Linked DNA regions of Oryctolagus cuniculus. The protein of the gene in region 1 purifies or fractionates together with the protein of each later gene. This does not show direct contact. Links are inferred from orthologs where the notes say so. Each region holds a gene or a part of one and is shown on either strand. Other genes may lie near its edges. The genes, in order: AXIN1, LRP6, LRP5, HIPK2, DVL3, PPP2R5A and MAP3K1.

Region 1 (4,286 bases):
AGCCAGGAGCTTCTTCTAGGTCTCCCACACAGGTGCAGGGGCCCAAGCACTTAGGGCATCTTCCACTGCTTTCCCAGGCCACAGCAGAGAGCTGGACCGGAAGTGGGGCAGCCGGGACTTGAACTGGCACCCACATGGGATGCTGGCACTGCAGGTGGCGGCTTTACCAGCTGCGCCACAGTGCCAGCCCCTCTCCAGCTAACTTTTAGCCAGAACTGATTACATTGTGCCGGGCTGTGTTGCAGTCAGTGCCTTGGCTAAGCCGAGAGGCATTATTGCCAGGTGCATGGTCTCTGTGGGGCTGAGAGGGGCATGGCAGGAAGGGCCAGAGACCGTGGCAGAGTCCTGACTGTGTCATGATCTAGCAAAGTCTGCGTGTCCCTTGTGGGCGCAGCACCCAAAACTCGCAGTTCCCCGGCCTCCAAGGGGCTGAGTGCTTGGTGTTGCTCTAGAGTTGTCCTGTGAGTTGCATGGTTCCTTAGCAGTGCAGTTGCATTTGCCTTTCATTTTTTTCTAAATCGTTTCTGTCCCGGAGGTCCCTGGGTACCGTTTGCTGTCAGGAGGGCATTTCCTGGGCAGACATGGCCTGGTGTCCTGTGTCAGAGCGTCTGCTTGTTCCCAGCTCCAGTTCTGATTCCAGCTTCCTGTCTTCGCAGACGCTGGGAGGTAGCAAGTGTTGTGCCAGGTTGTGTCCTTCCGTCCATGTGGGAGACTGGATTGAATCCCCAGCTTCTGGCTTCAGCCGGGCCCCGGCCCCGGCCCCGCCGTTGTGGGCGTTTGAGGAGTGAATCAGCAGAGGGGAGCCCTCTGCCTGCTTGTCCCTCTGCCTCTTGAGTGCGTCTTTTAGGAGAGAGGCCGCGTGGGGAAGGCTGCTCTGTGCGTGGGGGGTGTTTTCCATCCCCGGGTTCGTGGTGCTGAAGGTGACCCCCGGTCGGCTGCTCCTGCGGTCTGTTCGCACGTGCTGCACGGCCCCCGTGTGTGAGGTGAAACAGGAGGCAGGAACCCTGGCTGTGGGCCTGGCCGGTGTGGGAGCCAGAGCGGCCTCCCCGCAGTGGGTGTCGGGGCTCCCCCTCTCATCTGCGTGTCGTCTGACTGGGGTGACTGTCCCGGGTGTGTGAGGGACCAGCTCTCACCTGAAAGCCCCCCCCCCCCCCCCACCGGCCTTCCTGCCCTCCTGCTCACTCAGCTCTTCGGCCCGCTCGGAGGGCCTCTGCGGTGCTCAGAGTGCTGCTGGAGGCAGTGCGTTCTCTGTGCTCTGGGTGCTCCCTTGGCATGAGAAGCGTTCCTGTGGTTGTAGGAGTCTGCAGGGATTGTTTTGATGTGGAGCAAACCTTGCGGCCAAAATGTGTCTCCGTTTCAACTGTACACGGACTTTCTGGCTTTGGGTCATCGCCAGTCTCGTCTGGAGGGAGCCCCTCGGCCGTGTGTGCGGGGGCCCACCTTTTCCTAACCCGCGTCCTCTCTGGTTCCCGCAGGACGGCCTGACTCACCGCGAGCTGCGAGCACGGATGCTTTAGGGGGCGGCGCTCGCTGTCGCTTGCCGCACAGAGTCCCACGATGAGCGTCCAGGAGCAGGGTTTCCCCCTGGACCTCGGAGCAAGTTTCACCGAAGATGCCCCCCGGCCCCCGGTGCCTGGGGAGGAGGGAGAACTGGTGTCCACAGACCCGAGGCCCGCCAGCCACAGCTTCTGCTCCGGCAAAGCTGCTGGCGTTAAAGCTGAGACTTCGACGGCTACTCCAAGGCGCTCGGATCTGGACCTGGGGTATGAGCCCGAGGGCAGTGCGTCTCCCACGCCGCCATACTTGAAGTGGGCCGAGTCCCTGCACTCCCTGCTGGACGATCAAGACGGGATCAGCCTGTTCAGGACTTTCCTCAAGCAGGAGGGCTGTGCTGACCTTCTGGACTTCTGGTTTGCCTGCAGTGGCTTCAGGAAGCTGGAGCCCTGCGATGCGAATGAGGAGAAGAGGCTGAAGCTGGCTAGAGCCATCTACCGCAAGTACATCCTGGACAGCACTGGCATCGTGTCCAGGCACACCAAGCCGGCCACCAAGAGCTTCATCAAGGACTGCATCGTGAGGCAGCAGGTCGACCCCGCCATGTTCGACCAGGCCCAGACGGAGATCCAGGCCACCATGGAGGAGAACACCTACCCCTCCTTCCTCAAGTCTGACATTTATTTGGAGTACACGAGGACAGGCTCGGAGAGCCCAAAGGTCTGTAGTGACCAGAGCTCTGGGTCAGGCACAGGGAAGGGCCTGTCTGGATACCTGCCCACTCTGAATGAAGACGAGGAGTGGAAGTGTGACCAGGACACGGACGAGGAGGAAGCGCGGGACGCGGCGCCTCCCAGCAGGCTCACCCAGAAGCTGCTCATGGAGACGGCTGCCCCGAGGGCCTCCTCAGGGAGACGGTACAGCGAAGGCAGAGAGTTCAGGTGAGTGGGCACCAGGTGTCCCTTTTCGGTCCTCGCCTGAGACCTGGAGAGCGGGCAAGGGCAAGGTGTGGGCGACCAGTGGGCTGAGTGCCCGGCTGCCCTTGGGGCTGACTTAGGACTCTGATTCTGACGCGTGGTACTTGCACGTTCAGTAGCGGTTTTTATGGTCGTGTTGTCCAGAACGCCTTGATCAAGAACAGATAAGAAGCCTGGGTGTGGAGGTCGTGAGCACTACTGCTGACACCTGCACTGAGACCCACCGCTCTGAAGTCCTGGGGGCTTACCGGGTGGGTCTCGTGCTTCGGCTTGGTAAAGGGAGGAGTGGCCGTCTGAATGCACTGGTAGCTGGGGAATTCTGGATCATTCCCCGCGATAGTGGCGTGCTGAGGTGCTCCCTAGAGGCCAGGAACAGTGCTGAGACCTTTGTGTGGGGGGTTGCCAGGTCCTCTGAAGACTTCTGCAGCTGTGGCTGGAGCCGCAGGGTCAGATCTCTGCCTGCCTGACATGGCAGTGCTGCTGGGAGGCGCAGAGTTCACAGTACCCAGGGGGTGACCTTGGCTGTTCTCCCATGGGTGAGGGCACCCACGGTGTCTGGACTGTTCCCGCCTGTGTTCTCCCATGGGTGAGGGCACCCACGGGTGTCTGGACTGTCCCCGCCTGTGTTCTCCCATGGGTGAGGGCACCCACGGTGTCTGGACTGTCCCCGCCTGTGTTCTCCCATGGGTGAGGGCACCCACGGTGTCTGGACTGTCCCCGCCTGTGTTCTCCCATGGGTGAGGGCACCCACGGTGTCTGGACTGTCCCCGCCTGTGTTCTCCCATGGGTGAGGGCACCCACGGTGTCTCTGGACTGTCCCCGCCTGTGTTCTCCCATGGGTGAGGGCACCCACGGGTGTCTTTGGACTGTTCCCTCCTGTGTTCTCCCATGGGTGAGGGCACCCGCGGTGTCTGGACTGTTCCCGCCTCTGTTCTCCCATGGGTGAGGGCACCCACGGTGTCTGGACTGTCCCCGCCTGTGTTCTCCCATGGGTGAGGGCACCCACGGTGTCTGGACTGTCCCCGCCTGTGTTCTCCCATGGGTGAGGGCACCCACGGTGTCTGGACTGTCCCCGCCTGTGTTCTCCCATGGGTGAGGGCACCCACGGTGTCTCTGGACTGTTCCCTCCTGTGTTCTCCCATGGGTGAGGGCACCCACGGGTGTCTGGACTGTTCCCTCCTGTGTTCTCCCATGGGTGAGGGCACCCACGGTGTCTGGACTGTTCCCGCCTGTGTTCTCCCATGGGTGAGGGCACCCGCGGTGTCTGGACTGTTCCCGCCTGTGTGGACACCTGGGGCGTCCCCAGTGTTAGAGCTTTGGAACCGCGGCTTTTCTTTTTTCCCGTGACCCTCCGTGATTACAGGGAGCCGTTGGGCTGCTGCTGGTGTGTGTTCCTCCTGGGAGCAGAGTTCTTGCGCTTCCCCCCTGTCCCCAGGAGCTGGCACCTGCGCAGCGTTGACAGCTTGGAGCTTGGGTGGCCCCTGCTGATCTAGACAGAACTCGGAGGACACGCCCCTTAGTGTCGCGGCTGCCCGTGCAGTTGCCGTGCACTGGACCAGCTCTCCTCTCTGCACTGGGACAGAGGAGTCGGCTGCTTTCTGATAAAACAGCACTAAGCATTTCTAAGGTTTAAACTTTTTTTGTTTTGAAGATTTATTTATTTGAAAGTCAGAGATAGAGAGGGAGAGAGAGATCTTCCGTCTGCTGGTTCACTCCTCACGTGTCCACAACTACCAGAACTAGGTGAGCTGAGTCAGGAGCCGGGAGTCTCATCCTGGTCTCCCACATGGGTGCAGGGGCCAAGCACGTGGACCA
Region 2 (4,279 bases), on another chromosome or scaffold:
GTAAATTCATCAGGTAGCTATCATCAGCCACATTTTACAGGTAAAGAATCTGGGGCTCAGAGAAGTTTGCTATGAAGTAGTAAAGTTTGGGCTTTTAACCTAAGATTTTGGTATTGAAAAATATCCCCAAATGTTTCCACTACACCTCATCACCTCATCATCCAATGGTAGGAACAGGACACAGCCTGGGAAATAATATTCCCTGGATTTCAGCTACTTACAAAACAGGGCTACAAGAACAAAAAGTCTCCCAAGCTCTTTCTTACACAATCCATCACATACCCAATGGTAAAGCTCCAACTCTTCTGTGAGGAAAAATGACCTTGATGAAACAAACTAGTCACACTTTTCTCCTTGGAGTCCAAGGCTGACTAAATATCATTTTTGTATCTGTAGATGACATTATCAAGGAAGGAAGACAATCTAAATTATGACCACTTCACATCAAACATAATTTTAGTTCAAGTAACAAGCACACACTGCTAAATGCTGGTAAACAGAAAAGACCACCTCATACCATTATGATGCTACAACATAAAATGAGCTCCACTTCTTAAACTATCACCTCTTCTAGGTCTTGCTACACAATATAATACTTCAAAACATTTCTCCAAATGCAACCTCTCTCAACTCCAATGAACACATCCAACTCTGGGCTCAAACCTGGTGTTAAAATAAATTAGTAGCATTTACATCACACTCTTCCCCTCCAAGAAATACAACTGGGCAACCAGAAGAACCCCCAGGTTATGGGTTTAGACTTCCCCAAGACTCCTGTAACCATCTGGCATTCTTTGGTTAATTCTATTAGCCTTCTGTCTTAAAATATATGTGCACAGGGGCCGGTGCCAAGGCTCACTTGGTTAATCCTCCACCTGCGACGCCAGCATCCCATATGGGTGCTGGGTTCTAGTCCCGGCTGCTCCGCTTCTAGTCCAGCTCTCTGCTGTGGCCCGAAAAGGCAGTGGTGGACGGCCCAAGTGCTTAGGCCCCTGAACCCCGTGGGAGACCAGGAGGAAGCGCCTGGCTCCTGGCTTCGGATCTGCGTAGCGGCCTTTTGAGGGGGGTGAACCAAGGAAGGAAGACTTTTTCTCTCTCACTGTCTAACTCTATCTATCAAATAATATATATATATATGCACAGCCCTATGACACATACGATTGTTTCTCACAGTTACAGCTGTGAAACTTTCAACAGTGACTGTAACAGTAAAGTACAGATACTATACTGATTATAACGCCCAAGTACATAACATAAAATTGCATTACATTCTCTGGGGTTTACCTGTGGAAATGGACCGTCTGGATTAAGTGTTAATCGTTAAGGATAAATGTAACACGCAATCCTAATAGTGGTGCAGAAGAGTAAAGAAAATATCCCTTCTACATCAAAAAGGTCAGTTCCTGTCACCCAAAAATACATCCACACATGCGCACAGAAACGACGCATCTGTCACATTTCTAACACAAGATCGTTGATTACTGTCATGTGCTGTACCTGGTAAGTTTGGGAGGGCTTCACACAACTTGTCTGTTACATCAGTAGCTAGAAAACCTCCAGAGACCTCACACCTGCGAAGACCTGACCAGGACCACGAGCCAGAATTTTAACAAAACCACAACTACCACACTTTGGACTTTAAATTCCTCCGCTGGGAGCTGCTGAAGAGCCCGGGACTCCTCTCCACAAGTTTTGAGAAGAGCTGTGCAAAACTTGCGGACCAGCCCAAACCCAGTTCACACACGAGAAGTCACAGCCAGCGTGTCAGCACTGCAGGGCAATGCAACACATCCCGGGACCCCGGAATGGAAGCGACTCCCGGAGTAAATTACCCAGTCTGTGTTATTTACCCAAGTACCAAGTAATCCCCCACCCCCACCCCCACCCCCGGGGTGGGGTGGGGGTGCGCAGCAAATGACCATCCAGGTCCCAGGACTGGGGCCTCCGCATGCAAGCACAACTTTCCCACTCGCTGCTGCCAACTCCGCAAATACCAGGGCTTCCCAGAGCCACGTCGGTCTCGGAGCACGGGCCGCCGCTCGGGTGATCCCTACGCTGCCACGCTTGCCCTATAACCCCGGAGTCACTTTTCCAACTGTGCCCTCGCCCGGGATCGTCCCAGCCCAAGCGGAAGCCAAATGATCAGTAGCAACCAAGGCCTGGAAAAATCGCCAAGAGGGCTTAGAAAGTTCACCTGAGAGATCGGGGGAAGGTGGGGGTTTCCAGGGCGCATCTCGGACTCCCCACGTTTTTGGTTTTTGTTTGTTTTTTTAAGCCGAACTCGGAGCAAAGCCCCTTTCCCCTGAGGACGCCCGGCGGCCGGAGGCGCACACTCAGTCATTCCGCCAGAGCCGGCGGCCAGCGCTTCCCCGAGACAGGCAGCCCGGAGGGACGCGCAGCTTTGTCCACGCCGAGGTCTGCAAGGCCGGGCTGGGGTCTGGATCGTGGCCGGGCGGAGCGCACAGCCCCTGCGCCCGGGCCCCTTTCTCTCGCTCCTTCCCCACGACCAGGCCTCTCGGCGCTCCTCTTCCCCTCTCCTCCTCCCTCGCTCCCCTCCCCCCCAGACACACAAAACAAGGCCACCTCCCCCCACCCCCAAATCCCACCAACTTTCCAGGGCGCCCCCCCCCCCAGCCCCGCGCCGCGCGCGCTCTGCCCACCTCTCAGGAGCACGCAGAAACTGCAGGCCAGGAGGCTCCTCAGCACGGCCCCCATCTTCCCGGCTCGCGTTCTCTCCTCTCACCGGCGAGAGGCGACCAGATGAGGGGGAGGCGAGGAGCCGGGGCGGCCGCCGCAGCGGCAGAGCTGCGCGATCATGCTCCCCGGCTTCCCCGAGACAGAAGAAGAAAGAAAGAGGCACGTCAAGGCTCCGCGCGCGCCGCCGCCGCCGCCGCCCTCTCTACCGCGCCGCTCTGCCCCGGGCTCGCGCGACGCCAGCGTCTGCTCCCATCCCGCCGCCTCCTCCCCCGGCGCCCCACTTCCCCCGCGCAGCTCCTCATTCAGCCTCTTCCTCTCGCGCAGCGGCGCAGGGATACGGCCGCCCGCCGTCGCCAAGGGTCGCCGTGGAGGTCTCCCTGCGCGCGGCCGAGCCCCCCTCCCGCGGCGCCGCTTCCCGCGCACTTGGGCAAAGAAGAGGAAAACCGCGCGTTCGGCCTCCGCGGCGAGACCCCGGGAGATGCGTGGGGCGAGCAGAGGCGAGCGGCTCCAGGAAAGGCTGCCGGGCCGCGCATTCCGATGGGATTCTTTCCCGGGCTGGCCGCCTCGGCCCTCCCCGCGGAGGGCGTGAGGCGACGTCGAACAACATTGGAGCCGGCGTGGTCGGGACTACTTTCTGCGGCTCGGCCGGGCCGCCCCCGGCCCCGGTCTTTGTGCGGCGGACGCCGGACGAGCCAGGTGGAGCTCCCGGGGTGCGGCGGCCGCCAGCGGGGCCTGCGAGGTGCGGGGGGCCGGCGAGCGGGTCCACGCTCCAGGAGCCACGGCGGAGTCCCTCACGGGGTAATGCACTCGGTCTTCGGGGTTGGAAATCAGTTTGAACACCTTTTTTTTTTTTTTAAGGAAAATAAAAACCAACGCTGGTCACACCAGCTTTAAACGTGGATCTGCTGAGGTAGGTTCACATGCCAAGGCCGAAGTGCAATTCTTGTTTTCCTCCTGCCTTCCCAGAGACACCTGCTCCCCGAGTGAAGGCCGGCAAGACGTAAAAATGTGTAAACTGGAGGAGTAAAATTTCCAAGACGAGTGCATGGGCACCTAAGCCTGCAAAAGGGACAGTTGGACAAAGCTGAGTTTGCATTTAATAATGTGTGATTGGCACGCTTTGATGGTCGAGGCTCAGAAGGAAGAGATCCCCCAGCGCTTCGGCTTTTGCACAGCCTCTGGCTTCTCCCAGTGCACAGAGCCGTTGGGGAGCAGGGGCGTAGACACCCCTTGAAATCCCCCCAACACCCCGACAGTCAGGTGCCTTCTGTGCAGCTGTCACCCACCCTTCCCAGAAGGCAGCCGGGCCAGGAAATGCAGTCACTCCCGGGATCTTGCTCACACCCCAGAGACACTGGAGTTCACCTAGTGCCGGCACGTGCACGATCAGGTTTGAGGCTCGAAACATCCTGGGATGCGCAGGTGTTGACGCTTAGTGTCTTCATTGCACCCAGAAGGAAAGTAAGCTGAGAGGTCCGGTGACTTACCCAAGGCCGCTCAGGCAGGGACCTGAACCCAACCCGGGTCAGTGACTTCAGACACTGCCCGCCCAGGAAACACATGCTGGGGTCGAGGCCAGGCA
Region 3 (3,500 bases), on another chromosome or scaffold:
CCACAAAGGCTGGAGCTGAGCTGATCCAAAGCCAGGAGCCAGGAGCCACCTCTGGGTCTCCCACGCGGGTGCAGGGGCCCAAGCACTTGTACCATTTTCTACTGCTTTCCCAGACCACAGCAGAGAGCTGGATCGGAAGTGGAGCAGCTGGGACTTGAGCCAGCGCCCAGGGGATGCTGGTGTTACAGATGCGGGCATTGATGGACAGGGCTTTCCCACGGCCACGTGCTCAGGAGTGGGGAGCCGGGTGGCCCAGGCTGGGGGACCCCAGAGCTTGGTTTGTTAAAATGGGATTTTCCAGTGCCGTGCAGCCGGCCAAGCTCAGAGCGCTGAAGGAGCACGGCACAGGTGGCTCCTTCAGAGACGGGGGGCGGCTCTGGCGCCCCCGCCCCTGCTCCCAGCCCCCAGCTCCTCCCCACGTGTCCCAGCAGCCACCTCGGCCCGTCACTGCCTCTGGTGCTGTCTGGGTGGATAAGCTTTGCTGTCACAGAACCTTCTAGAAGCATGTCCTATGGCAGGTGCTGTTTTGTGTCCTGCTGCTCCCACCTGGCCCGTGGGCTGTGGTTTCTGTTCCTGGGCCACTTCTGTCACGTGAAGACCCCCTGGGGGGCCCCTGGGGGCCGGCGTCTGGGTGGTTGCTGGCCTGCGGCTCTCTGTAGGACTTGGCACTGGGGACGGTGCCATGCGTGCAGGCCCCTGGCGGGGAGGCTCGGCTGCGGGTGAGCCCGTGGGTGCCGCGGCCGGGCCGTGCTGACACCGCGGGGGTGGGCGGTCTCCCCGCAGGTCAGGGGCGGGTCGTGATCGCCGACGACCTCCCGCACCCCTTCGGCCTCACGCAGTACAGCGACTACATCTACTGGACCGACTGGAACCTGCACAGCATCGAGCGGGCCGACAAGACCAGCGGCCGCAACCGCACCCTCATCCAGGGCCAGCTGGACTTTGTGATGGACATCCTGGTGTTCCACTCATCGCGGCAGGACGGCCTGAACGACTGCGTGCCTGGCAATGGGCAGTGCGGGCAGCTGTGCCTCGCCATCCCTGGGGGCCGCCGCTGCGGCTGCGCCTCGCACTACACCCTGGACCCCAGCACCCACAACTGCAGCCGTGAGTGCCTGCCCCTGCAGCAGCCGGGCCGTGGGGCTCCTCAGCCGGGTGCACGGGGATGGCTGAGCAGGTCGTGCGCTACACAGAGTCGGTGGAGCTGCCTGGTGGCCTCGGCCGAGCTATGGGGTCTGTGAGGCATCTCTGGATGTGAAAACCTACCTCTAGGGGGCGCTCTGCACTGTTCCATGCATTCAGCGAGGGACTCCCCCGGCCCCTGCTTATTCCCAGACAAGGAGCCCCAGGCACAGAGCGGTGCGGTCACCTGCTCAAGGCCACACAGCTGGGCTCGGGCTGGCTCTGGGCGGCCATGCCGTCTCCTAGTGGCCTCTGTGTGTGTGTGTGTGGGGGGGCATCTTGTTCTTCTACAGTGATAAGAACAGGGACATTCAGGAGCCAGGGGTGACTTCCTGTGTCCCTGCTGTGGGTACTGCTGTGACAGCTGCAGTGTCCGTAGCTCAGCTCCGCGCCGCAGGCCACAGTTCTCACAGCGTGGCGTCACCCGGGCCCTCTCTGCCCTGGGCTCGTGCAAGCCCTGAGCTGGCCGGCGCTGGGCCTGGCTCCCTGCAGCCCGGTTCCCCGTGACCCCGCTGCTCATGGCCCTCCCGGGGGTGAGCCTGGGGGCTCAGGAGGCCGTGCCAGGGCCAGGAGCAGATGTTGTCACCTGGGTTCCCTCTCCGCGGCCGGCAGACCTGGGATGACACTTTGGATTTCAGGACGCGTGCCCTGGGGTGGCCTCCACGCGGGCCGAGTGCCATGTCTGCACCAGGCCACAAGGGCTCCTGTCTGGACCCGTTCCGCCGTGAAGGAGGGGCCCTGGGAAGCAGGTTCTTTGTGTCCCCGTGTCACTCTGAGGAGGCCCAGGAACAGCTCCGGGCGCCCCCAGGCCCCAGCTCCCTTGAAAACCAAGACCCAGGGCCGCAGGGAGACTGCGCCTTACTGGGCTTCCAGGCGTCGGCACGCGGCTCCCTGCTGTCCCGTTATCTGCGGCTCACCGGCCCCACTCCCCGAGGCCCGTCCCCTCCTGGTGCCGTCAGCCGCCCACATGGGCGTGCGTGGGTGGACCGCAGGCTACTCGTGGGTGACACACGTGTTCATGGCTCTGAGTGGGGGCTTCGCTGCCATTCCTTTCCTTTGGTCCTGAGTTCTAATGGTAAATGCCGTCCCCGGTTCAGAGCTGACACCTGCCCTTGCACACAACGGGGGGGCACAGCCTTTGTCCTGTGGTCTTCCTCCGCGGACATCCAGCCGTGCAGGTGCGGGTGTGCTTTTCAGAGTCCAGCGGGAGGGAGGCCAGCTGTCCGTCTGTCCATCCACCCGTCCGTCCTTCCGCCTGTCCGTCCATCTGCCTGTCCTGGCCGCGTCCCCTGCAGCCTGCGGGCGCCAACGTGCCGCCCACTGGTCTCTTTGCTTTGCTCCAGCGCCCACCGCCTTCTTGCTGTTCAGCCAGAAATGTGCCATCAGCCGGATGATCCCGGACGACCAGCGCAGCCCGGACCTCGTCCTGCCCCTGCACGGGCTGCGGAACGTCCGCGCCATCGACTACGACCCGCTGGACAGGTTCATCTACTGGGTGGACGGGCGCCAGACCATCAGGCGCGCCAAGGACGACGGCACCCAGGCAAGTGCACCGCCGCTTCCGTGGGGAGACCCCTGGCCGCCGCCCCCTGTGCAGCCTGGCCCTGGTCAGGGTGAACGGTAACGTCACTGGCAGGTGCCATCCTGAGCCGTGTGGGACCCTGGGCCTGGCCAAGCCCGGGGGAGACCCCCTGTGCAGGGCGACCGTGCCTGCGTGGGCGTGGGTGCTGTTGGTCACGCCCATTTATCCTTTATCTCGTGGTCCACTCTCCCGTGAGCCTGTGCGTCGGTGCTCTGTGCCGACAGCACGCAGGGCTCATGGGAGAAGCAGTGCTGGGGCACAGCGCTCAAAACCCCAGAAGCAAAGGGTCCCCCGTCCGTGGAGCGCCCGGCGCAGGCCTGTGCCGCGGGAAGCTTGCTTCCGTTGCCCGTTCCTGGTTTCTGGGTGGTTTCCGGTGTCTGCTGAGCAGGTGGAGTGTCCGCCACGGCCTGCTGTGCCAGAGGCCCGGGGCCCAGGATGGCGCTCACCCCAGACGGCCGAGCCTTTGGGAGGGGCCCTGGAGGGGGGCCTCAGGTCGTGGGGTGTGGCCCCTCGAGCTCTGCAGAGGGTCCTCATGGAGCCCGAGTTTGGGATTGGCCCCTCTCTGCCCCGTCCTCCGTGCGTGCCGCTGCCCTCACTGGAGGCCGTGCTGATGGGGCTGTGTGGTCTTGGCCTGGAACCCCCTCACTGTGAGCTGACCGTTGACCTGCCCTCGCAGGAAAGCTGGCTCCTTGGGGGTTTGCTGTGGCAGTGCGGGGCTGCCTCATGCACGTTTCTG
Region 4 (3,500 bases), on another chromosome or scaffold:
ATTAATATTTAGCACCCGCTGCCCCTGGAATGGCCAGATCGCCAGTTTAGCGCTGACTGCCACGGGATACCTGCTGACACTGCTCTAGGCTTCTGTTTTCCTCCGAGACGCTCAGGCCCCGCGTCCACCGCTGTGAAATGTGACCTGTCTCGGGGTATTCTGCGACCCATCCTTGCCACTTCTCCTTGCGGGTCACTTTGCAGGGTCTTCTCTTGAATGCCTCCTTGGGCACCCTCCTCAAAAGCATGTGTCAGAGCTGGGGAGTGTGCAGCAGCTGTCTGTGCGTGGGGAGCGCCCCAGATCCCCTGTGCCCCATGACCGTGTGACCTCGACTTGGTTTCTCATCTGGCTGTGCTAGACACAGGTTCTCGAGAATATTGGGTTTCTAGAGATGCCTCCAAGGGGGCCAGCATTCTGCATCCCAAGTGCTGTGGTCCCACCTGTGCCCGCCCCATGGAGTCCCCGCTGCTGGGGGCCGGCAGGCACAGACCACTCAATGCCAGAACTGACCGACAAGAGTTATTTCACAGAAATGTCTGTGCCCTCTCGTTGTCATTCCACAAAAGGCCCGCAAAATCAAAACCCTAAGTTCCTGTGCAAAGACGCAGTCTCCCCTGTGTCGGCCTGGTGCTGTTGCTGCAGCTGTCCCGGTGGTTGGCCTCCGGTGCAGGGCTCTGGCCAGCCCTCTGGGTGCACTGATCTGAAATTTCACTCCAGACCCCCTCCTGTAGACAGGGCTCTGACCGGCCTGTGGCCGAAAGCCTGCGTGAGCATTGGCTGGTGCTGGCGGCAGACTGGGCGAGCAGCAGGCCACTCCACATCGGCCCACCTGACTCTTGGACACGTGACCCTGCCAGTGGGCAGTTAGCTCTGAACTCGGCGTGTGGTGGCCCATCAGCCCCCTGTCTGCATGACCTACGCTCCCTCATTCCCACCCTCAGCCTTCTCTCGGCCGCTCCTGAGACACGGCAGGACCTCAGGAAGTAGTTGTGGGATGGGTTAAAACAGCCTCTGAAGGGGCCTGGCAGGACCTCTAGGAGCCATCCTACCTGCAGTGTCACCCGGCTGCTCAGGGCCCACCCACCAGCAGTGTCAGCAGCACCCCAGGCGCCTGTTAGAGTGCAAGCTGTGGAGCCCCCTGCTGGCAAGGAGCCCCGCGTCTTTCCACCTGGGGCCTCTTGCGTGTAGCCCGGGAAGAGCCCTCGTGTTTGGCCATGCTCGGCCCTCATGCCTTTCCCCGCTGACTACGTCTCATCCAAGAGACCAGACCGGGGGCTCCGAGGGGCCGTTGCAGCCACTGTTGCTCACCTTGGTTGCTCCTAGGCACAGTCTGCAGTACCTGCACAAGGGCAATACCTGCCGAGGGCACTAACAGGAGTCCCTCCAGCCGCCTCCCAGATGCTGGAGGCCACGTGGCCAGGGAGGGCCAGCATCAGCCCCCCCCCCCCCCGGCTGTCATCTCTCTCTGCTTCTCCTGCACCTGTCCCCTCTTTCTTAGCTTTATCCCCTCATTTGCAGCCTTGGCCACCCTCTAGACCAAGGGCTAGACAGCTACAACCCAGCTGCCCACGCAGAGTGAAGGCCAAGTCCTAGCTGAGTCTGGGGAAGCTGAGGCCAGGGTTGGCCTGGCCAGTGTGGGCGTCCTGGAGAGCCCTGACCTGTGACCTCCTCTTCCTCCCGCCACAGCAAACACCAGTCACCACGCGTCCTCCTACAAGCCCAAGTCCTCCAGCAACGTGACCTCCACCAGCGGTCACTCTTCAGGGAGCTCCTCTGGAGCCATCGCCTACCGACAGCAGCGGCCAGGCCCCCACTTCCAGCAGCAGCAACCCCTCAATCTCAGCCAGGTGAGTCCCTGCCTGATGGCCGGCGGCCCCCACGGCAGACCCTCACACCCCACAGAGAGCGGCACGGGGCGGAGGCTGCCCCGGCAGGGTCGCTCGTGGGGAAGCTGACAGCACTGGTGCGTGGGTCGCACAGTGCTGCCTCACCGTGGCAAAGCACTCGTGACTTGGTGCCGAGCTTAGACTAGGAGCCCACAGAAGGCTGCCTCCCCCAGCAGAGGCAAGACACCAACCAGGGAGAGCCCTGCTGTGCACCTCACTGCGGGGCGGGGCGGGGTGGGGGGGGGACACACTCCAGAGACCCACCCAACCTAGGGCAGGAGAGTCCTAGCCTCAGCCATGTGTCCCAGCAGCTTAGCTTCTCCAGGTAGGAGACAGTTGATGGAACTGCCCATGGCAGCGTTTCCGAGGGCGCAGGCTTCCTGCCCGGGGACCCCAGCCGGTGAGGGGCAGGCCTGCTTGCTCCACCCAGTGCAGGCTCATCTTCACTCGCTCCATATCCCAAGGCCAGCACCCCTGTCCCTCCTCCACTCCCGGCCTCCCCCGTGTACCCCCTCACGCCGCCCTCTCTGGGTGCCTCTGCTCCGCAGGCTCAGCAGCACGTCACCACGGACCGCGCCGGGAGCCACCGACGGCAGCAGGCCTACATCGCTCCCACCATGGCTCAGGCACCCTACTCCTTCCCGCACAACAGCCCCAGCCATGGCACTGTCCACCCCCACCTGGCCGCCGCCGCAGCTGCCGCCCACCTGCCCGCCCAGCCCCACCTCTACACCTACACAGCGCCTGCTGCCCTGGGCTCCACCGGCACCGTGGCCCACCTGGTGGCCTCCCAAGGCTCGGCGCGCCACACCGTGCAGCACACTGCCTACCCGGCCAGCATCGTGCACCAGGTCCCCGTGAGCATGGGCCCCCGGGTCCTGCCCTCTCCTACCATCCACCCCAGCCAGTATCCAGCCCAGTTCACCCACCAGACCTACATCAGCGCCTCTCCAGCCTCCACCGTCTACACTGGATACCCACTTAGCCCTGCCAAGGTCAACCAGTACCCTTACATATAAGCACTGGAGGGTGGGGGAGGAGACGGCGGAGAGGGCGGGAGGAGGGGTGGGGGAGGAGACGGGGCCAGAGAGGGCGGGGAGGAGGGTGGCCAGAGCTCCTGGGACCGAGGAGGGAGCTGGCTTTTTATGCTGAAGACACCGCACACAAACAATGCAAATGGGAGGGGGCGGGGACTGGGACGGACGCAAAGGAAACTTGAACCAGGAAGTGAGGAGGACTTAGAGCAGAGAAGAGAACATTTTAAAAAGGAAGGGATCAAGGAGGGGGAAATCTATGCTTTTTATTTTAAAAAAGAAAAAAGAAAAAAAAATGTTGGCAACAAAAAAACACAGCTCATGCACCCACTCTGCACCAAACTGGAAAGGAGAAGAGAGCCACAGGAAGATCCCAGAGGGGCCCAGTGTGGGGAGAACTTTTATCTATGAACTTTTCAAAGATTATTTTCATACGACGGCAAGTGGCATTGAAGAACTTGCTGTCAGGGACACCTGCTGTGCAAATCCAATAGATTTTTAATTAACTGAACATACGAATTAGGGATTTTTCCAGAACTCTAAGAGTCGACACCCCCTCCAGAATGAGGAGGCTGACATT
Region 5 (4,104 bases), on another chromosome or scaffold:
AGGCAGCAAATGATGGCTCAAATATTTGGAGACATGGATGGGGTTCTGGCCTCTTGTCTTTGACCTGGCCCAATCCTGGTTATTGTAGGCATTTGGGGAATGAACCAGCAGATGGAAGATCTTTCTCTCTCTTTCCTGTTCCCTCCCCTTCTCCTCCCCTGCATTTCAAATAAATATATATCCAGGATCATATGAATGTTAAGGATATTGGGAAAGCATTATGGAATGTGGAGAGGTTTCCCAGTGGAAGAGGTGAGTGAAAGTGCTGCTTGCTAACTTGGCAAAGTGTACAAAGTGTCCGTACTGCCGCCTGTGATCTCCCTGCGTGTGATCTCGCCCTGCCTACCTTTCTAGCTTCACCTAGTCCCTCTAGGCACAGTCGCCTTCTTGCTCCTCACGCGAGTTAAGCTTCTTCCTGCCTTGAGCTTTTCTAAGTGGCCATGGAATACTCTTGCCCCCATCCCATGGCCGCTTCCTGCTTGTTATTTTTAGGTCTTGACTCAAATGCAAAAGGCCTTCTCTGACTACCCAGAGTCCTCCTGTTCCTGTCACTATCACAGTACCCCATTGTATCTTTCCATAGCATTTGTCACTAAGAAATTATTCATTTCCAAGCCTCGGTGCTTCCTGGCAGGTGAGTGAAGGCCCTGGATGCTACTGCTCTATCTCCATGTCTTGCCCTTAGTACGCACTCGAAATGTATTACGTTAATTAAAAGCCAAGGGATGAGGAGGCCTGTTAGGAACCGATTATACCTAGCTCCCACTCGAGGCTGACTGGCCCAGTGATGCACGCATAGGCTCATTCTTCATGCAATCCATTCACCTAAGCCACTACTTTGCTCCCAGACGCTGAGGTTCTGAGGAGACGTCAGAATCCCGGGACCGTCAGGCCCTCAGGGAGCTCAGTCACCGCGGCGGGGCTCCTCAGCGGACCCTGGAGGGCCACGCTGAGATAATGTCCTCCCGCGATCCAGTCAGGTCCACCCCCTCCCCCAGACCATCTCCGGAGCCCAAAGCGCCCCCTGCATTCCAGCCCTCTCGGGCAGGGCAGCGAGGACCGCCGGTCCGCTCCAGCGGGAGCCCGGGACGCGGCAGTCCCGAGAGATCCGCCCCTCCGCCCCGGGGGCCTGGGGCCCGGGAGCCGCCGCGCGGTCGGGGTCACGGAGGCCAGGGAGTCCGCCGGGGCCGGCCATCTGCCGCTCTGGCCGCGCCGCTCGGCGGCTGCGGCGGCGGGGGGCGGGGCCGTGCCGGGGCGGGGCCACGCCGGGGCCGGGGGAGGGGAGGCGGCCGGGCCGCAGCGCCGAGCCCGGCGGGCCGCGGCCACCGGAAGAGTCGCGGTCGCCAGCCCAGCCGGGGGAGCGGGGGGCGGAAGCGGCGGCTGCGGCCGCGGCGGGCGGCGCTGGGACCCGGGAGCGCCGGGAGAACAAGGGAGCTGGCGCCGCGGCCGGCCGCCGAGCTGGGCTGAGCCGCTGGGCCGCGCCGAACGCCGCCGCCGCCGCCGCCGCCGCCCGAGAGGCCCGGCCCGGCCGCCCGAGCAGGCCGCGCGCGGGCCGCCGGGCCCGAGCCGGGGCCATGGGCGAGACTAAGATCATCTACCACCTGGACGGGCAGGAGACGCCGTACCTGGTGAAGCTGCCCCTGCCCGCCGAGCGCGTCACCTTGGCGGACTTTAAGGGCGTCCTGCAGCGACCCAGCTACAAGTTCTTCTTCAAGTCTATGGACGACGATTTCGGGTGAGCGTGGCCCCCGCCTTGCCTCGGGGGCCGGCCTCAACTCCCCCGGCTTTCCCCGCGTCACCCTGGCTTCCAGCGAGCGACCCCCTGGCTTTCTCAAAGGCCGGGGTTCGGGCCGCTCTGGACACTCCCCGTTCACCTCTCGGGGGGGGGGGAATCTTGGTTTCCTAGTTTGGGGGGACGTCCCCTCTCCCAGAGCCCATTTCTGCCCGTCGAGCCCCCCCCCCACCTCCTCAGAGACCACACGGAGGGACACACCCCCGCACACCCAATTCCAAAGCCTTGGTCCCCCAGCGCCGTCCTGCAAGGGAGCCACCTTTTTAGTGCAGACTTGGGGTGTTGGGTGTTGGGCACTCGGCCTTCGCCTTCCCCATATTTGGAGTATCCTGCATCTGAGGGCCCCGCCGTGGGACTTTGAACTGGGGGAGGGGGCGTTGGGGGATGCTCGGCGCCAGGCTGGGAGCTGGGCCTGTAGACCTGATGTTTATTTAGCTGTCTCCCCTCTGGCCCGCGGGCAGTTCGGGGATTGCCAAGGGAACAGAGTGCCTGACCCCTGAGGAGCAGTCCTCACTAACCCAGGTGCTGATCCCTGGGCACTGGGGCCTTTCCTGTCCCGCCGTGGCCAAGGTGGACTTTGGGAAGGGCCTCAGAACCTGGATGGCAGGGCCAGGAAGAGCTCATGGTGTTTGTCCCCCTCCCTGGTGGCGGCTCCTCCTGCTGCAGGGCTCTGGACCCACAGAGTTTGGAAGCAACCACTTCCCCTTTAAGAGGGGATGGAATGTTGGAGAAAGGTTCTTAGCAGCTGGCCTGGGAGGGGGAGCCTGGCTGATCCCCTCACACACCCCCTCCCAACTCCCTGGGGACTGGGGGAGGGGGAGGCCCCCACACTAGCCTGCCCCACACTTACTGGGCCCTGGGCCTCACAGCGGCGGCCTCTTCAGCCCTAGCCTGGGGCCCCAGAGCTGAGTGAGGGGAGGCATTCTTGTCCCCACTGTTCGTCAGTCTGGCTGCCCTCCCAGGGCCCTGGCCCTGGGAGCCCCAGGAAGCACGCACCCTCTGTGTCTGTCTGGCATGTTTGGCTGTCACCTTCTGCCCTGGAACTCAGGGTGTGAGGAGCCCCTGGAAGTGTGTGCGTGAAAGTGTTGTGTACAGTGGGAAGTGTGGGGCTCACTCTTGTTTGTGTTGTTGGTGCTCCTGCCCTGGGGTGGGGTACTCCTGGTGTGGTAATGATTGTCTGGTGTCAGACACCCCTGATGAGTAGATTCTGAGGGATTAATCTGGAAGGAGTAGGGGCTAAGGGCTGGGTGCCTTAGCCTGGCAAGAAAGGACTGGGGTTGGAAGAGACCTGGATGCCACCTTGGGATACAGGATTGGGGGAAAGCAGCCAGAGTCCAGTGCACAGGGCCAGATGCCTGGAGGAACTAGGCTAGGCCTGTGTTTCCACCCTTCACCGACCCCGCCTCTGAAGCTTAGACTCTGGGGGCTGCCTCTCCCTTTCCCTAACTGCAGCCATAGCCTGGGACTCCCTGCTCACTGTTTCCTTACTGTTTTTCTTTAAGTCCACTGTCAGTCCACTCTGTATTCTTCTTAGCTTGACTCAAAGACATTAAATTACAGAGCCAGTTTTCTTAGGTATATTTCTTTATAAAATACATTAAAGATAAGTATTGAACTGAGCAACATTTATTCATGTGCCACCTGGAGCCATCTTGCATACAGCCTCTCTCTGTGAGGTATCAGAGCTGGCCATGCTAGCAGGGTTGAGAACAATGCTAAAAATGAAGTGGAGGTGATTGATCTTGTTTGTATCCCCTGAAGGAAATGAGCAGGAGACCTGGCAGGGCCGTCTTATCACAGAGGATTGACGGCTGAGGAGCGTATATATGTTTCATCTATTTGACAAACTTTGTGGGCCTTCCAGTGTGCCAGGCAATGATCTAATGCTGTTCAAATTTTCACTCATTGAATCCTCATAGCAGCCCTATGAAATAGGTCATAATATCCTATTTACAAATGAGAACACAGAAAGCTCAAGTAACTTGTCCAAGGTCACACAGCGAGTAAGCAGCAGAGCTTGATTAGACATCAGAAATTTGGCTCCAAAATCTAAAGCCATAGTCATGCAATTCCAGGTAAGATTATTATTTTTTTAAAAAGGGTTTATTTATTTGAAAGACAGAGTTAGAAGAGACAGAGACCAAGAGATCTTCCATCAGCTGGTTCATTCCCCATATGGGCTCAATCACCAAGACTAGGCCTGGCCAGAGCCAGGAGCTTCATCTGGTCTCCCAAGTGTGTGGCAGGGGCCAAGTATTTAGGCCATCGTCTGCTGCTTCCCCAGGCACATTAGCAGGGAGCTGGATCCGAAG
Region 6 (3,500 bases), on another chromosome or scaffold:
ACTAGTACCAGTATTAGGGAACATCATTTATTAAGTAAAGTTAAATGCATATAATTATTTCACCTTTAAATTGGGGGGAAATTCAGAAGATTTAAGAAAAACCATTCAAGACACAGATTAGCAGAGAACAAGCAGATTCTGCTTAGAGTGACTTGATTGTCTTTTGAGTGGGAACTAGAATAGTGAACACATGACATAGTGTGTTTATTACATGGTGTTTCATTCACATCCCCAATAGAATGAAATTTAATTTACAGATAATTGTTTAACACATTAGTTGATATTAAAAACAGCAGCACGGGGCAGCATTTTGGCATAGCAGATTGAGCTGCTGTCTGCAATGCTAGCATCCCGTATTGGTGCTGGTTTGAGTCCCAGCTCATCCACTTCCAATCCAGCTTCCACCAATGTACCTGAGAAAGCAGCAGATGGGCCAAGCAGCAAACGACGGCCAGTACTCACATGGGAGACCTGAACAATGATGCTCCTGGCTTCAGCTTGGCCATGCAGTCATTTGGGGAGTGAACTAGCAGATGGAAGATCTCTGTCTCTTCCTCTCACCAACTCTGCTTTTCAAATAAATCTTTTTTAAAAAGCTTAAAGTTTAATAGTCTTTTTAAAAGAAAAGATATATCAAAATGTTCCTACTTCAGAACAGTTCCATAGAAGGTGACCCTAAATCAAAAACTTAGCCAGAATCATAGTAAAAAATGTCATATCTGCCAATGTTATGTAGATTCTGAATACTGATCTTAGAATTGTAGACCTCAGCTTTGTGTAGCACAGAGAACTATTAATGATTCTGGAACAAAATGTTAAACAAGAAGTTTTTACTGCATAGTCACAAATAAGAACTTATTTAGAGTCTTCATATTTTTATTTCAAAATTCATGTGAATTTTACTGCCCTTTACAATATTTCAATATATGTTTTACTGTAAAACTTATGTTTTAAATTATCGGTAGAGTTGACCAATGAAAATATACTGTATTTGTCATCTATCAGTGAAGGGGCATAGAATATTTGAACTGTTACATTTAAGGAATAGCTTAACTAAATCAGCTTTTTAAGGACAGCAACTTAAATAGTTGCAGAGTAACTTTAGTAGTTTTCTGCACCAGAGAAATATGAGCACAGGCCTCCTTGGGTAGGTTGTCATTTTTTAAAACAACTTTTAAAAATACTTATTTACTTATCTGAAAGTCAGAATTATATATAGAGAGACAGACAGATCTTCCTTCCTCTGGTTCACTCCCCAAATGGCTGCAGCAGAGACAGGAGCCAAAGCCAGGAGCCAGGAGCTTCTTTCAGGTTTCCCACATGGGTGCAGGGGCCCAAGTCCTTGGGCTATCTTCTGCTGCTTTCCCAAGAGCATTAGAGAGCTGGATTGGCGTTGGAGCAGTCGGAACTGAAACCAGCATCATTGTGCCACACCACCAGCCCCGGTTATGTTTCTGTAGATTTCTACCTGTATCTTTATATAAAGTAGGTACTGGTTTTAAATGGAACAATAAGGGCTGATGCTGTGGCACAGCGGGTTAAAGCCCTTGTCTGCAGTGCTGGCATCCCATATGGGTGCTGGTTCGAGTCCTTGCTACTCCACTTCTGATCCAGCTTCCTGCTAATGGGCTTGGGAAAGCAGCAGAGTATGAGTCCTTGGGAGACATGGGAGACCGGGAAGAAGCTCCTGGCTCCTGGCTTCCAGTTAGCTCAGCTCCGGCCATTGCGACCATTTGAGGGGTGAACCAGCAGAGGGAAGACCTCTCTCTCTCTCTATCTCTCTGTAACTCTGTCTTTAAAATAAATAAATCTTTTTAAAAAATGGAATAGTTTATGAGCAGATTATGAACTAAATATCATTGTGACTTTAAAAATATCAGTAGTTCAAGAAACTTAAGTAATTGACCTAATTGAAGGTCCTAGTTTATGGATTTGAAAAGTTCAAATTTGAAGTTTTGTTATTTATTTATTTTTGTATGGTGGAAACAAGAAGGTAAAGCATTTGTTGAATGCCTGTTGTGAGCCAGGCTCTGGTTAAGTAAAGAGAGAAGGGGGGTGGGGGGGATGTGAATTAGATAAGTAACACTTGGTTCCTATTTTTCAGAGTCTCATGGTTTATCAGATATGTGAAATATAAATGGCATGTAGCACAATAAATACTAAATAGAGCTATGTGCCTAAAATACATTTGGGCAGAAGTGGATTAACCAGCCAATGTAGTTTCAGGACCAAAACAAAAATTTCTAAGAAGGGACTTTCCCTGCAATGTGATAAATGAGTTCCCAGGGTGGCACTGTGGGCAGAAGGGCATATTTTATGCAGAGGAAACAATGTACGATCTTCAGAGAATTGCAGGGAGTACAGGTTAACCAGGGTGAGAAGCATGCTGGGATGAACTCAGAAGGGACTCACGACAGTAGCAGCTACACTTGTGTGTACAGTTCAGAGGAGTTTGAACTTCAGTCTCTAATTATTGAAGGATCATTGAGAAGATCTAATATGATTCTGTTGATTCTCATTTTAGCAAGACTTCAGCTTTTTAAATAGTTTGGAGGATAGGATAAATCAGGAGAGGTAGTGGTCATGGGACCAGGCAAAAGGGACAATTAAGACAGTTAGGGATGATGAGAGCAGTGGAAATTAGAAGAACAAGATAGATTCCAGATAGTTTAGACTATTTTAATAGCATTGAATGATATAATTTGAAGAGTCTACTGTAAGTCCCTAAATAACAGTGTTAGATGGGTACATTGTCACTAGACTTCTGAAGTTTTATTTTTTGTGTATAAATAACTTATGAAAAGTTACTAAATAAAGGTAACTTCTGAGTAAATTATTTTTATGTTTTTTTTTTATAGATGCCACTTCAAATGAACAGCAAGAGCTTTTTTGTCAGAAGTTGCAGCAGTGTTGTGTACTATTCGATTTCATGGACTCTGTTTCAGACTTGAGGAGCAAAGAAATTAAAAGAGCAACGTTGAATGAATTGGTTGAGTATGTTTCCACTAATCGTGGTGTACTTGTTGAATCAGCATACTCTGCTATAGTAAAAATGGTAAGCTTCTGGATTTATGTTTCTCCTACAAAGTCAAGTAATATTTGAGGTGTAATTATGAATTAATAAGACTGTTAATATATAATAGTATAACAGCTCACATGAAAGGTTATCATCAGTTCCACTGATGCTTTCATTGCTTAGCAAGAGTTTGAGAATCCAATAGCCAATGGCTAGTGGTTCCCATATTACACAGTACAGAGCTGGAGCTTAGGGGAAAGATATATACTTCAGATTATATGGGTTGGTAATTAATATCATGGGAGTGAATAGAATAGTCACTGAGAGAGAATTTTTAAGTGGAAATGATAGTTCTGGGAAAAACTCTGGGGGTTTCCAATTTAAGAAGTAGCTGGGGCTAGCGCTGTGGCATAGCAGGTAAAGCTACCACCTGCAGTGCTGGCATCCTGTATGGGCGCTAATTGGAGTCCTGGCTGTTCCATAG
Region 7 (3,987 bases), on another chromosome or scaffold:
TTTTGAGACAGAAGGGATTTCCAGACCTTTATTATTGAAACACAAAAATACTTCAAAATCTCAGTGTTAGAGTTTTGAATTGAAAGTATGAATGTAATTCCTGTCTAAAAAGCAAAAATGTAAAGTTCAATGGAGATTTTAATTGAATTTTTATCATCAAAATTTTTTCTAAGACTACACATGGTATAAATAAAATCATGCAATATAAATAAGTAAAAGAATTTAATGCCAAGTAATTTCTCCATAATCAGTTTTATACCAATAAATTCAAATAAATTCAATCCTCATGTCAAGGAAATGGGGGGAACACTATATTTCAAAAGTATAAGAAATCAACATTTTATTAGAATGAAATCTTTACATAACATGTAATCTTTACATATAACCAACGGCTTTCTGGCTAATAAAAGTAAACAAAAGATCATATTTGTCTGTTATTTTACATACTGTGCCATAACACACCTCTTAGACAAAGGGAGGAGCCTTCATAACTACACTGTAAAACCAAAAATTAAGCATGGACGACTCAGTTCCTCAATTCTGTCTGCTTCCACCCCAGTCTTCTCGGTCTGTGTCAAGGGATGACACTAAACAAGTTTTGTATTTACACTGGTTGCTCTTATACTACATTTACAGCTCATGAAAGTGAATAGAGGGCTGATGTTTGCCAGATTATTTATCCGAAAACCTAGGTCTCATGAAATTAGGTAAAATTAATCTCTCAAACTGGGGATTAAAAAGTTCACTTGCAGTAACAACTGCCTTCAAAGAGTGATACTAGTTAAGTTTGAATCTAATCCACATAGAAACAGGAAAGTACAGGGGAATGTTTTTAATGCCAATTTACACGTACAAGTGCACACGGAAAAATACCAGTCCCAGACCTCCCCTCCGTCTCAACACTGCCATGGTATGGCGCTGAGCATAGTTTTAAGGTTTCTTTGGGGGGGGGCACATCCACATAATAAACTGATTTTAAAGAACTGACCAAAGGCACAAAAAGTGCCACTGGCTTTAGATATCTAAGCAAAACCACAGATTCCCACTGTCAAACTCCTCACAATAAAACACACTTCATTCCCATCACCAAGTTCCAGAATTCCAAAGGGCGACGAGCGACTGTCACAAAAACATTTCCTGCAAGACTTCGCGCTCTGCACACACTAGTCAGATTCCTGTGACCACGATCAAGGATTACGGCTGTCACACTCACAATCATCTTACACACACACACTTTGCAGGAGCCAAAGCAGGGCGAGGCCAAAGCACAGCGGGTCCCAATGACCTTCCAGACACGCAGCGGAGGGCTTCCCCGAGCCGCAGCCCGCAACACCGGCGCCCCAGAACTGCGGGCAGCCCCGCAGCCGCGCGGAGCAGGAAGCACCGCGCCCGCGCCGCGGCCCCGGGGCCACGCCGGAGGGACTGGGGAGCCGTCACCGCCGCTTTCAAACTGAATGGCTGACACATCCGGTCCTGGCTCCGGCACCACTCCGCCGAACGCAAACTTCAAAGGCCACATTCAAACTCCGAGCAGGGATCCCTCGCGTCTTCGCGGTGCAACTTTGCATTCCCGAAGAGCACCCACAGACCCCTGGGGGACGAGGTTCGAAAACCCGCACGTCCTGCAAGGCTGCAAGCGCCCACGAGCCTGCAGTCCGTGGAGCAGCGCTTTGACAGGGGTTACCGGGCCGTGCACCGCGCCCGGGACCGGCTCCCAGTACCTGCCCTGAGACTCCAGGCCCCCGGCGGGCCGCGGGGCGCTGCCTGTCACGTCCCCGGGGACCTGCCGCTTTCTCCTCGGCCCTGCCTCTCTGCCCCCACCAGCCCCGACCTTGGGCTCCCCACCCACCCTGCAGCACGATGGGGCCTCGCCCCCCAAGCCCCCCGCCCCGGGGACACCGTTTTGGGGCGCCGCGGCCGGCCTTCTCCCCGCCCCCTCGGCTTGGCCTCGGGACGCCGCGCCCTGGCTCCTCGGAGAGCCCCGACCTCGGCAGCCCCACAAAGCCAGCCGGGGGGCCCCCCACACCTTTTCGCCACGGGTCCCCGCAGCGCGGCTCGCACGCCTGTCACATGTCTGCAAACAATAACAAACTCCCGCACGCCCCCGTCCCGTGCCCCAGCCGGGGTTCTGGGGCGCCGCCCGCCTCCAGAGGGGGTCGGGGGAGTTTGGGGGCGCAGGTCCCGGCGAGCAGCGCGCGGTCCCGCTGCGCCGAGCCCCAGGACGCCGTGCGCGCCGCCCGGGGTTCATTCATTGCCCGTCCGCCCGCCCCCCCAAGTCCCCGCCGCGCTGCTCACCCAGCGGGGGCCACTGCAGGAGGCTGCTCTGCGGCGGGCGCCCGCTTCTCCCCGGGCTCGGCCCCCGCGGGGCTCGGGGCGCCTGTGTCCGGCGCGGCCGCCGGCTCGGCAGGGTGGGCGCCGCCGCCTGCCGCTCCGTGAGGCGGCGGCACCGCCACCGGCTGGAAGCCGCTCGCACCCGCCGCTGCGTCCGAGGGCTCCGGAGACGGAGACGTGGAAGAGGACGGCGGCGAGGCGCCGAAGAAGAGCGGCGGCTCGGGCAGCTGGTCCAGCTCCACACTCCGCACTTTGCGCAGCTGCCGCCGCCGCCAGTCCGCCCGCTCGCGGCCCGCGCTGCCCGTCTCCCGCAGCAGCCCCGCGGCTGCCACGGGCGCGCTGCCCGCCTTGAGGGCCCCTCCGCCGCCGCCCGCCTCGGGGCTCGCCGCCCTGGCGCCCGGGAATCCCGACGACGAGGCGCGATTCCCCGCCGCCGCCGCCATTTTCTCTCGCGGGCTACATTCGCTCGGCCCCTGCGAGGGAGGGAGGGGGCGGGGAGAGCGCAGGGGGCGGGCGGACGGACGGGCGGGCGCTGCGCCGCCGGCGTAGGGCCGCTGCGCCAACTGCGTGAGCGCCGCCCGCCGGGCGCCCGGCCTGGGTGACGGGCGTGCGGACTGGCCCGCGACGGTGGCGGAGGCGGCGGCCGCAGGTGGGAAGGAGCGGGCGTTGCGCTCGGCCCCGCGCGGGCGGGCTGCGTGGGCTCGGCGGTGTCGGCTGCGGGGGCGCTCTGGGCTGTGCGCGTTGCCCCCGCGGCGCTGCCAGGTAGTGCGGGCCGCACCGGCGACAGGAGGAGCCTCGCGCCGCGGTCTCGCCCCGGCTTGCCCGGAGCTCGCTACAGAAATCAATGCACTGGAACTCGGGGGTGCGGTCCGTCAGCCGCACGGCCCCTGGCTGTGAGCGTCGGGGAACTCGGGCGCAGACCGGCCTCCCCCTACCCCCAGACCCTGCCGCGGCTCCGCTCCGGAGGTGGCGCAGGTGGTGCCCGGGGCTGTCGCACGCTGCAAAGCGAAAGCAAACCCGGGGTGCTGCGGCCCGAAAAGCTCAAGTTGTGTTTCGGCTTAAAGACAAGAGTGCCTCCCCTCAGGTCCCCTGCCCCACCGCGCCGTTCCCAGGGACGAACACGAGAGCTGCCCGTAACACCTTGTCCACCTCCTGACACCGCCGGGCGCGAGGGAGACCCCGAGCGGCGGGGGTCCCTGCCGCTGTCTCGCTCGGCCTCGAGCCGCTCCGAGCGCGTCTGGGGGCAGGAACCAGCGCCGTGCCAGGAAGTGCGCGCTCCTGTCACCCGCGGCCGGCGCCCGGCCCTCGGCGGCTGCGACGCCGCTCGCCGCACGTCTCTCTCGCCGGCGGGACCGGGCGGCCGCCGGGGTCCCCTCCGCCCCGCGGGCCCTGGGAGCCTCCGCGGAGAAGCTCACCTTTGCGTGTTAGCGGTTTTAGACGCCTACCCCCCCACACCCCTATTTTTTTTTTCCCCCGACAGAGCTCTGCGTCGCGTTTCTGTCCCCTCTCGTCTGCGCTGGGCAATCTCCCAGGAGCAGCGTCTCTAGATTTATTGTGCGGAGTAGTTAATGGAAGCATCGGAGAGGGAGCTGCCCTCGCGTAGAGACGAGGGAGCCTTCGTGCTGGTCTTCGTATACAGCTATACCTGAACCGTCT

Evidence for each region.
Region 2: the proteins of AXIN1 (region 1) and LRP6 purify together in Homo sapiens (affinity purification with western blotting; 7 studies listed by BioGRID and IntAct, with this or other methods). This does not show direct contact. The link is inferred for Oryctolagus cuniculus from reciprocal best matches to the Homo sapiens genes AXIN1 and LRP6.
Region 3: the proteins of AXIN1 (region 1) and LRP5 purify together in Homo sapiens (affinity purification with western blotting; 3 studies listed by BioGRID). This does not show direct contact. The link is inferred for Oryctolagus cuniculus from reciprocal best matches to the Homo sapiens genes AXIN1 and LRP5.
Region 4: the proteins of AXIN1 (region 1) and HIPK2 purify together in Homo sapiens (affinity purification with western blotting; 3 studies listed by BioGRID). This does not show direct contact. The link is inferred for Oryctolagus cuniculus from reciprocal best matches to the Homo sapiens genes AXIN1 and HIPK2.
Region 5: the proteins of AXIN1 (region 1) and DVL3 purify together in Homo sapiens (affinity purification with western blotting; 3 studies listed by BioGRID and IntAct, with this or other methods). This does not show direct contact. The link is inferred for Oryctolagus cuniculus from reciprocal best matches to the Homo sapiens genes AXIN1 and DVL3.
Region 6: the proteins of AXIN1 (region 1) and PPP2R5A purify together in Homo sapiens (affinity purification with western blotting; 3 studies listed by BioGRID and IntAct, with this or other methods). This does not show direct contact. The link is inferred for Oryctolagus cuniculus from reciprocal best matches to the Homo sapiens genes AXIN1 and PPP2R5A.
Region 7: the proteins of AXIN1 (region 1) and MAP3K1 purify together in Homo sapiens (affinity purification with western blotting; 5 studies listed by BioGRID and IntAct, with this or other methods). This does not show direct contact. The link is inferred for Oryctolagus cuniculus from reciprocal best matches to the Homo sapiens genes AXIN1 and MAP3K1.

Annotation. Positions count from the first base shown.
Region 1 is NC_091450.1:34,296,037-34,300,322, forward strand, and holds the start of AXIN1 (axin-1), read left to right. Parts: upstream 1-1,486; 5' UTR 1,487-1,557; coding exon 1,558-2,435; intron 2,436-4,286. UniProt on the Homo sapiens protein: Component of the beta-catenin destruction complex required for regulating CTNNB1 levels through phosphorylation and ubiquitination, and modulating Wnt-signaling.
Region 2 is NC_091440.1:109,922,250-109,926,528, forward strand, and holds the start of LRP6 (low-density lipoprotein receptor-related protein 6), read right to left. Parts: upstream 2,801-4,279; 5' UTR 2,716-2,800; coding exon 2,661-2,715; intron 1-2,660. UniProt on the Homo sapiens protein: Component of the Wnt-Fzd-LRP5-LRP6 complex that triggers beta-catenin signaling through inducing aggregation of receptor-ligand complexes into ribosome-sized signalosomes.
Region 3 is NC_091432.1:4,147,557-4,151,056, reverse strand, and holds part of LRP5 (low-density lipoprotein receptor-related protein 5), read left to right. Parts: intron 1-783; coding exon 784-1,107; intron 1,108-2,525; coding exon 2,526-2,725; intron 2,726-3,500. UniProt on the Homo sapiens protein: Acts as a coreceptor with members of the frizzled family of seven-transmembrane spanning receptors to transduce signal by Wnt proteins.
Region 4 is NC_091434.1:184,453,268-184,456,767, forward strand, and holds part of HIPK2 (homeodomain-interacting protein kinase 2), read left to right. Parts: intron 1-1,686; coding exon 1,687-1,847; intron 1,848-2,434; coding exon 2,435-2,905; 3' UTR 2,906-3,500.
Region 5 is NC_091435.1:93,733,808-93,737,911, forward strand, and holds the start of DVL3 (segment polarity protein dishevelled homolog DVL-3), read left to right. Parts: upstream 1-1,304; 5' UTR 1,305-1,574; coding exon 1,575-1,735; intron 1,736-4,104. UniProt on the Homo sapiens protein: Involved in the signal transduction pathway mediated by multiple Wnt genes.
Region 6 is NC_091444.1:26,822,355-26,825,854, forward strand, and holds part of PPP2R5A (serine/threonine-protein phosphatase 2A 56 kDa regulatory subunit alpha isoform), read left to right. Parts: intron 1-2,858; coding exon 2,859-3,055; intron 3,056-3,500. UniProt on the Homo sapiens protein: The B regulatory subunit might modulate substrate selectivity and catalytic activity, and might also direct the localization of the catalytic enzyme to a particular subcellular compartment.
Region 7 is NC_091445.1:77,490,725-77,494,711, reverse strand, and holds the start of MAP3K1 (mitogen-activated protein kinase kinase kinase 1), read right to left. Parts: upstream 2,801-3,987; 5' UTR 2,775-2,800; coding exon 2,296-2,774; intron 1-2,295. UniProt on the Homo sapiens protein: Component of a protein kinase signal transduction cascade. Activates the ERK and JNK kinase pathways by phosphorylation of MAP2K1 and MAP2K4. May phosphorylate the MAPK8/JNK1 kinase.